Linked DNA regions of Arabidopsis thaliana. The protein of the gene in region 1 interacts with the protein of each later gene in a pairwise test. Each region holds a gene or a part of one and is shown on either strand. Other genes may lie near its edges.

Region 1 (4,771 bases):
ACAATGAAACTTCAGCAGTCGCTGTATCAAACATAAACTACATAAACATAAAAGGTACCTACACCAAAGAACCTGTACGCTTTGCCTGCAGTGATAGCTTGCCATGCACAGGAATCTCACTGTCGACCATCGAGCTTAAGCCAGCCACAGGAAAAGCAAGTTCACTTGATCCTTTCTGCTGGAAAGCACACGGTGAACTGAAGACAAAAACTCTTCCACCAATACAATGTTTGAAAACAGAAAAGTCACCGGAAGCTGCAAGTCGGTCTAATAATGATGCTTGCTGATATTAGAGTAAGAAATTATGTAGAAATGTTAAGATAGGCCACACATTATACGAATAAAGAAGGGTTTGATTCCCTTCCTTTGTCTTATACTAGTTTTTATAAATCATTTGCAAACACAATGTAATATATGGCATGCAATGTATTGCATTCTGTTATAGACAATTGGAAGTTATTGAGTTAGTCCCAACCCATAGCCTAAGGAAGGATTTCATCTGTGAAGCAACAATCTAACAATTATGACTATTTGGACCAGTTATGATAGAACACATCACAAGTAATATACTTCTTCGAAGAAAAGTAATGTCATCTGAGGGATGCAAAGAAAGTATATAAAATGAGAGCTAAACAATATATCAAAAGTCTAATTACCAACACATGTAAACAACTAACGCATTTTACTTTGTAACAACGGATAAACCACGACATGGTTCAACTTAGTCGGCAAGAACATTCTTAACGCAGTTCCAAAGCTCAAGCTAACAGCACAAGACAGACAAACTGAAGAAATATATTACTCAGACCAAAATAAGATTCTGAAATATATGATCTGTGTCTCAACCGTACATCCTATTTGGGAGATTTGCATCACATAATGTGATGTGCTCCTCTAAATTTAAAAAGCAAACGTGTCTCTTGTCATTGTCTGCTTCCTATACCATAGTAAATTCCTGCAGTGGAAATTAAGTAGAATTTTTCAGGAAAAAAACCCAAGAGAACAAAGAATAAAACCTCAACTCAGAAAAAACAGTTGTACTCATATCCTACACGTAGATGAAAGGAATTTGAGCGAGAATGTCTCATCAACGTTTGCCAAAACCAACTCCTGCTTTCCTTTTTTGTCGTGCTTCTACTCTTTCAGGGCTTGGCAATCCAGTTTTTTCTTCGTACTTCTTTTCTAGGGCCTACAGTACAAAACTTGTCAGGAATATTATAGAATTACGATGATAACAAACATTTTAAGACAATAGACTACTGAATGAAAAGATGTTCACCAAAGTCACGAGTCACTACTAACATACAAATGGTAATTTTATCCACGAAATTTAACTAGTGGTTATTGTAGCTTTAGACTCTGCCCTGCTACAGTTTTACTCACCTCTAGCTCTTCACGAATGCTATCAAGAACTTGATCCGTCATTCTGTCAAAGAAGAGAACTCCCTGTAATTTGAAGAATGTTCCATCAGACCGAAATGAAAGCTTGAAAGTGATACTCACATACAGTAACACAAAATACCTCCATGAAAACAAGTAAAAGTGAACAAAAGTACTAAAGAAGATAAGGCCCGTGAGTAAATGATGACACTTTTCAATGTCGAAACATCAAAATATAAGTGACTGCAGCCATTCAACTGTACATAGATGTACTTTCTGTGTTGTCATTGCTATATTTAATCAAGCAAAGTTATCAAAATAAAAGTGGAGAACAAACCTCCAGATGGTCGTATTCGTGCTGAAAGATTCGTGCAGGTAAACGTGATAGACTGATTGAAAATCTTTCACCAGTAATATCCCTTGCATCAATCTTGACAGATTGTGGTCGCTGAAAGCAAAACCAACCACATAAGAACCGGTTTCCAAGAAACAATGAGCAATAATAAGGTTTAAGTAATTCAGTCAAGAAAGGGTGGACATACAACAACTTCAGCATAGATCCCCGGGAAGGAGAGGCATCCTTCATCAAACGGTACTAATTTATCGGAATATTTCTTGATTTTCGGATTTACAAGGACAATTTCTTTTCCTTCTCCAGGCTCTCCAGCTGGATTAAACACCATGAGTTGAACATTGAGACCTACTTGTGGTGCTGAGAGCCCAATGCCATCCGTTCTGTCCAATAGCCATATGTAATCACAGTATCACTCTGTTATTAAGTACTAAGTTACTTACATTATAAGGAGGACTTACTTGTACATAACATCAAACATAGCATCAACCAAGTTCTTTAAATTCTCGTCAAAAATATCAATCCTCTTGTTCTTAGCCCGTAGTATAGGATCCGGATACTCAACAATCTTCAAAGGCGTCTCAAATTGAACATCAGTAGCTTCAACATTATCACAAAATTACAATCATACATAAACAGTACATGCTCATAGAGTAATCAATAATAGATAAGCAAGTCTGTTACCTGAAGCTACTTTATCGTCTTTACGCGAGACGCGCTTTACTTCTGCGCGGACCGAAGATGTCAGAGGACTGGTCCGGTTCACAGTAGAGCAGAACGTGACCGTGGATTTGAGCCGACCATAACCGGCAGAGAGAGTAGTAGCTCGGCGAGATAAAACCGGTAGGAGTATGCGAGAGAGTGGTGGAGCTTGGAGGAAGCAGTTACAGACGGCCATGGCTAGAGAGGAAGAGTAATTTCAGACGAAGCGGAAAAACTGAATTTTGTGTGGAGAGTAAGTAAAAGATTGAGTAGACCATTTTGTAATTCTGCTTTTGTTTAAGGTGCAATTCCGAAATATTTATATTTTATAAGGACGATTTTTAAAACCAATATTCTATTATTAGAGCTTTTGTGAGGAGAGACATTTTCTCTTTCGAAACTCGCGGCTTGCTCTACAACAGGTCCTTCTTTGGAGCTTCTTCGAAAGGTAAACAAACTCTCACACCATTCATCGATTCAAGTTCTGTATCATCGTTTCTCAAAATCTCTGGTATATTGATTTTCTCGGTCTTTGATCTCCATCTTTCTTAAGAGTATCAAGTGATTGATCGATTGATTTATCTGGTTTATACGTTCTTCTTCTTTTTGTTCATGGTCTAAAGGTGTTATTCGTCACTTGGCTTTGTTCAAGGATCTCATTATCTATATTTTTTTTAATCTATACGAACTTTGTTGTTAAGGTTTTTTGGAATGTTAACGTGATCGTGTTTATCAATAAAGATTTAGTGTTTCGTGTTTCTTTTGTTGGTCTTCAGTTATACAGAGAATTTCTTTAGAGTATTGTGGTTTGCTTTGGATGTAGGTGCTAGCTAAAGGAAAAAAATGGGGCTTAATTTCACAAAGTTGTTCAGCCGGCTTTTTGCCAAGAAAGAAATGAGGATTCTGATGGTAGGTCTTGATGCTGCTGGTAAGACCACTATCTTGTATAAGCTGAAGCTTGGCGAAATCGTCACTACCATCCCGACCATCGGTAAGGTTTAAGGATTCCTTAAATCACAGTGTCTGTCGATGTGTACACTTAGATTAATATTTTATGTGTTTCTTACCTGTGTGTAATCCTCCGCTACGGATTTTATGTAATCCTCTTCTGCATGGAAGTTTTGTTTCTTAAAATTTAATGTTAAGGAGGGTTTCGTTTCCAGGATTCAACGTGGAGACTGTTGAATACAAGAACATCAGCTTCACTGTTTGGGATGTGGGGGGTCAGGACAAGGTACATATTTAACTCTTGCCATGTTTATGGTATACTGTCCTCGTGATGCTTTATGCTCTGCTCTGGTTTTGGTGTGACTAGTAATGATCTTTCATAAAACCTGGTTATTCATATCGTGCAAGCTCAATTTGAAATTTTAATCTCCACGTCTAGTATCTATGAGTGTTTGTCGTCTTCTTTTTTTGTCTGATATTTGACATTAAAATGCACTTCCGTAAAAACATAAACAGATTCGTCCCTTGTGGAGGCACTATTTCCAAAACACTCAAGGTCTTATATTCGTGGTTGATAGCAACGACAGGGACCGAGTTGTGGAAGCGAGGGATGAGTTACATCGCATGTTGAATGAGGTTTGCCTTCTTTCTAGTTTTCTCTTGTTACACAGTTAGACTGAAACAACTTCCTATAATTTGATTTATACCATGTTTGTAGGATGAACTGAGGGATGCTGTCCTTCTTGTGTTTGCAAACAAACAAGATCTTCCCAACGCAATGAATGCTGCAGAAATAACTGATAAGCTTGGTCTTCACTCTCTTCGCCAACGCCATTGGTAAAGTTATTTTCTTTCTACAAAGTTTTTCATTAATTAATGTGGTTAGATTGAAAAATAAAAAAAAATGTGGTTAGATTGATCACATTGTGATAACATGTATCTTATGTTTTTTTCTTTTAACAGGTACATTCAAAGCACTTGTGCCACATCTGGAGAAGGTCTCTATGAAGGCCTTGATTGGCTCTCCAACAACATCGCTACCAAGGTAAATAACTTAAATATCCCATTTTAAAACTAAGTAGAAATTTGAAAGGAACACTCTTTTGAAAGTATTGATGCACTTAAATAACATCCTTAGGGGTTTTAGATTATATCTATATATACAGTTTTGGAGACATTTAGAGGAAAAAATCATTATTCATGAATACTGATCAAACCTTCATTTTGATTGAGTACTGAGTAGGCATGATGAAGCTGAACACTTTTTGTCCTTGGAGACCATTAGTGATTGTGGAGAAGAAAGAAGTATTATGTCTGATTTTACAACGGTTTATAGCATCCATCCGTTGATGCTTGTGTCATTGTGTGTTAAAACGTCAAAAATGGATT
Region 2 (4,330 bases), on another chromosome or scaffold:
CATGACACCCTTGATGATGCCATCAGCTTCTTTGGGGTTCACCGAACCGCTTCTCATGCGTCGCATATCGCTGTTGTGGGTGGAACTGGGAGATTCGAGCATGCTAAAGGGTATGCTGTCGTGGAGACTCTACACAACCAGGAAGACCAACATGTTACTGATGGTCATGATACCATTCTCCATTTCAGTGTTTATCTTACATACTACAAAGCTTGAAGAGTTATGGCATTTGTTGAAAGAAAATTCCTCTGTTTCGTTTGTATGTTCTTCTTTATAAGTTTAATGTGTGGTCTATATTGTGTTGTGCACGTTTACTGTACTGAAAAAAAGAAAGTTAAATGACAATCTTTGTCTTTAATTCTTTATATTCAAAACTCTCTGTTTTTTGGCAAATACATACCTTTTGCATTTCAACCGGTCTATTTATTCGTTTGTATATACTATATACTCTCGAAATTCCATTTTTATATCAAGTTAACGTAAGAATAAATCCTTTTTATAATTTTTTGTTTACTTACCAACAAAAAGAAAGAATTATTACATAGGAGCCATGTAGTCTAGATTTACGTGGGCTGGAAATTGAAACGTGTTACTACTCTTGTGAGTAGTCACTCACTTAACAACGCATGTTAAGTGAGAGTTTTCTTATGAACTTTGACCCAAAAAGACATTTCTGCACAAGGTATAACAAATTAACAACGTTCAAGTTATGGGCTGATCATAGGATCGGACACATTTTGACCACTTAATCGCAAATTAATTGGATATTGTTCAAGAACTTTTTCTCCATGTTATTGTTTTTGTTTAATTAATGTAAATTTTCAATTTGAAGAAATTTCTATTAAAAACAAAAATGGCTGCATAGACGTTCCCCAAAAAAAAAACAGCCGATCATGGACCAAAAAACAGCTGATCAACGTTTTTACTGATCTGGCTAAAATCTGGACTTTTGGGTTCCGAAACTTGCAAGCATATGGAAACCATGATACAAAATTTCCAAGAGTGCTAAAGCCTTTTAAGGTGACCAAAACCCGAAATAAATAGTTTATTTGAAAATATATACACACGATACATTCAATTAAAACACCACACCATCGATCCATGTATGAGCTAGCGTCCGTTTCATTATATATAATTAAACAGAGGCAATATTATGTGGACCACGTACGTATAACGTACCAAAAAGAGTGTCATCACTCCTTTTTTTGCTGTCTTGCTTGTTGGACCGATGCTAAGATGAAAAAACGATTTACTTATAAACATGCATGCGTCAGGGATAAATCGTTTTCATGAGATTCATATATATAAACTATAAGGTTTTCGAAATCTAACGATCGAACATCGCGATCAGTCGTCGGATTCTTTAGATGAATCCGAGATAATCTTCTGGATCATCTGGTTTGTCTCTTCCTCCGACATTTGCTCTTGTTTGCTTTGCCTCTCCTCATACGCCTTGAAGAATTCCTTGTTCTCTTTCTCCAGCTCCTTCCACACTGTCATTTATTTTGTTCCAATTCATTAATATTATGATAACAAAATATATAGGCCGGATATATATGTTGCAAGGATTTTTATATTTTCTTTGGCTTTTTTTGTATATGTATAAGTTCTAGTCGCCAGGTAGTCAAGTCAGTGTATATAATCATTAATTTGATTATGCATGAGCACTTATATGAATAGAAATATTGAAGATCGATCCATCACGCTAGATCCTATCTGTAGCTAATTAAGTACATATTACATGATCAAATTCTAAATGATGGTATCATAATATGATGATAGCTCCATAATTTATACATATAATTAATCCCGTTAGAGAGTACATAGGTACAGATATGTTTGTGTGTTTATAAGGATTACGGAAAGGTAAAAAGTATTAAAAAAGAGGAGAGAGAGAGAGAGGAATTAAAACCAGTAGAGGTGATGACAGGAGTGATGTTTGCATGCTTAGAGAGAGCTTCCACACACTCTTCTTTGCTCATATGGAAGATCAAACATTTCTCTATCATGTGCTGCACCTATACATACATACACACATCCAAAGATATTGAGGTACATACGTAAAAGATAAATAGATAAGATCATTCATAGAATCGACGGCCGGAGAAGTACATGAGGTTCTTGAATCAATATAATATTACCATGTGAATGTAAGAAGCAGAAGAAGAATCTGCCATTGTTAATGGAAACCCTAGAATTAACACCCAAACTTAAAAGAGAGTCTTCTTTCTAAAAGCCACTTGTGGAGATAAAGACAGCCATATATAGAAGAAGATCACGCAAAAAGATGAAGAAGGAGACAAAAGAGTGAATAGTTGAAAGATGATATGCATGCATGGGGCCAGAAGCCCCACGTGGGAGATTGATCATAATTGGCTGAGAAAGGATTAGAGGAGATTTGTAAAATCACTCTTTCTCTCTTCTCCCTTCGTTTTTTCATTTCCATCTCACGCATCCTCCACGTGATCCATGGCCCCTCTCTCTCTATACATTTTCTGCAAAAAAACACTTAGTCGTGTTTTAATTTCCATAATCTTCTAGAAATTAAATCTATACCTATTTGTTAATGTTTTAACTTATATAAGAAAATGAAAGTTAGTTGTATTGGCTCTAAGAGCACATGATTACATAAAAGGAGAGTAAACGATAAATTCGGAATTTTAAAGGATTGATACTTTAAAAAATGGCAAATAAAATAATGACTTCAACAATTGTAACTCACCGAATTCCTTTTGAAACAATATAAAACCATAGTGCGAAATATACAAGGCATATAATCATAAGTCTTAACACTTATGTTAAGGCTTACCATTAATAAAGAAAAGATAACTGTTGTAACAAACATATCAAATGTATATCTACGATGACTACCGTTGTGTGACCATCGATTTGACAATTGAAATATCATAAGAAGACGTATTAGAGGCCTAGGTCGCCCCTGAACATCGGTACGTCTACTCTTAAGGTGAGGCAAGAGAGGCATGAACTTGTTTTCCTTTTTCTTTTTCTTTTTGTTAAAGGAATGTTGAACTTGTTTAAATAGGGAATACCATGCATATAAAATATATAACTGGTAAGTTGATTGATAAGAACATTTGAAATCACTTGAGCACTTTAAGAAAAGGAGAAGTGAAGAAATATGCGGATGAGATCCAAACGTGGTTTGCATCGAGCAACATTAAGGATAGAAAATCTTTGTAATTTGTTTTTTAAAAAGTTTGCATTTTGCATTCACATGTATAAATGTTTCTTTTTTCTTTGAATATAATCTAGATTCAAAAAAGTTATAATATATATATATATATATATATATATATATATATATTGTAACTACATATTATGAGTATGAGATAATCCATATACATTAGTAAACCTCTGTCGTAAAAAGAACCAACGTAATTTACACGACATGTTATAGATAAATGTTTGCTACTGAATTTTTCAGTTCTGTCATATATGTATGAGCCTCCTCCTAATTAAGTCCTAACTCTTAACCATGCATACCAACATGTTTATTAATATTAAGACCGGTAAAAGAAACCCAGAAATTATCATGTACTTGTTAATGTAGCATAAAAGACAAAATCCCACTCCATCTCATAAATGATAATATTGATATGGATTAGTGGAACCTATTACATCTAATAAACATTACATCTGACGTAAGTTACACAGTTGATTTTGTTTTTTTATAATTAGTTTTTTGAAGTTACGCTATTGAAATTTCTGTCTAATGATTAACTTAGTTCTTTTTCTTCTGAAATTTTTGTTATTTATGAATGACACAAACCCCCGAAAAAGTTGATTACACCAACCAAATGTCGTCGATCTCTTCCAGATAATATTCATAATTTAATCATCTACGTAATTGACTCCTCAAAGTATTAATTTGGGTATAGTCGTACCACCATGACAAGTGTAGTATACGTTACAATAATGGACGGCCAAAAAAAAGGCAAAGTGATCATCAATAGTTTTTTGGTTGGGTAAGGGGACGCGGGAGATTAAAGTTTTTGATTCTAAACCAATAGGACGATGACATGTCACGTATAACAATCCACATTGAGATCAAATAATCGCAAATGGTACAACCATCTGAGTGACGTGGCGCAAATGGACATGAGAGAGAGTGAGAGAATCTACAAAGGTTACGTAAAGAAGTGAGAGACAAACACATTGTGGGTGTTTTGTCGAAATCAAAGGTTTCAGAAGGATCCATCAAATTCAGACATTAAATAAAACTACACATATTCCTCATCATGTGGACCTCTCAATTTGAGTCCTGAAACAGCAACTATTCCCTCGAATCAAATTCAAACCCTATTCATGA

What was found.
Region 2: the proteins of PDF1B (region 1) and AT3G55240 interact in a two-hybrid assay, tested with the Arabidopsis thaliana proteins (one large-scale study listed by BioGRID).

The regions. Positions count from the first base shown.
Region 1 is NC_003076.8:4,726,042-4,730,812, forward strand, and holds PDF1B (peptide deformylase 1B), read right to left. Parts: upstream 2,706-4,771; 5' UTR 2,631-2,705; coding exon 2,417-2,630; intron 2,333-2,416; coding exon 2,194-2,332; intron 2,116-2,193; coding exon 1,923-2,115; intron 1,829-1,922; coding exon 1,718-1,828; intron 1,447-1,717; coding exon 1,384-1,446; intron 1,190-1,383; coding exon 1,088-1,189; 3' UTR 1,053-1,087; exon of another isoform or gene 998-1,052; intron 956-997; 3' UTR 600-955; downstream 1-599. Other genes in the region: AT5G14650 (Pectin lyase-like superfamily protein), read left to right, coding at 1-287; ARFA1B (ADP-ribosylation factor A1B), read left to right, coding at 3,278-3,425, 3,598-3,668, 3,899-4,018, 4,101-4,219, 4,346-4,454. UniProt on the Arabidopsis thaliana protein: Removes the formyl group from the N-terminal Met of newly synthesized proteins. Has a preferred substrate specificity towards the photosystem II (PS II) D1 polypeptide.
Region 2 is NC_003074.8:20,472,529-20,476,858, forward strand, and holds AT3G55240 (Plant protein 1589 of unknown function), read right to left. Parts: upstream 2,805-4,330; 5' UTR 2,178-2,804; coding exon 2,142-2,177; intron 2,019-2,141; coding exon 1,913-2,018; intron 1,494-1,912; coding exon 1,348-1,493; 3' UTR 807-1,347; downstream 1-806. Other genes in the region: AT3G55230 (Disease resistance-responsive (dirigent-like protein) family protein), read left to right, coding at 1-216.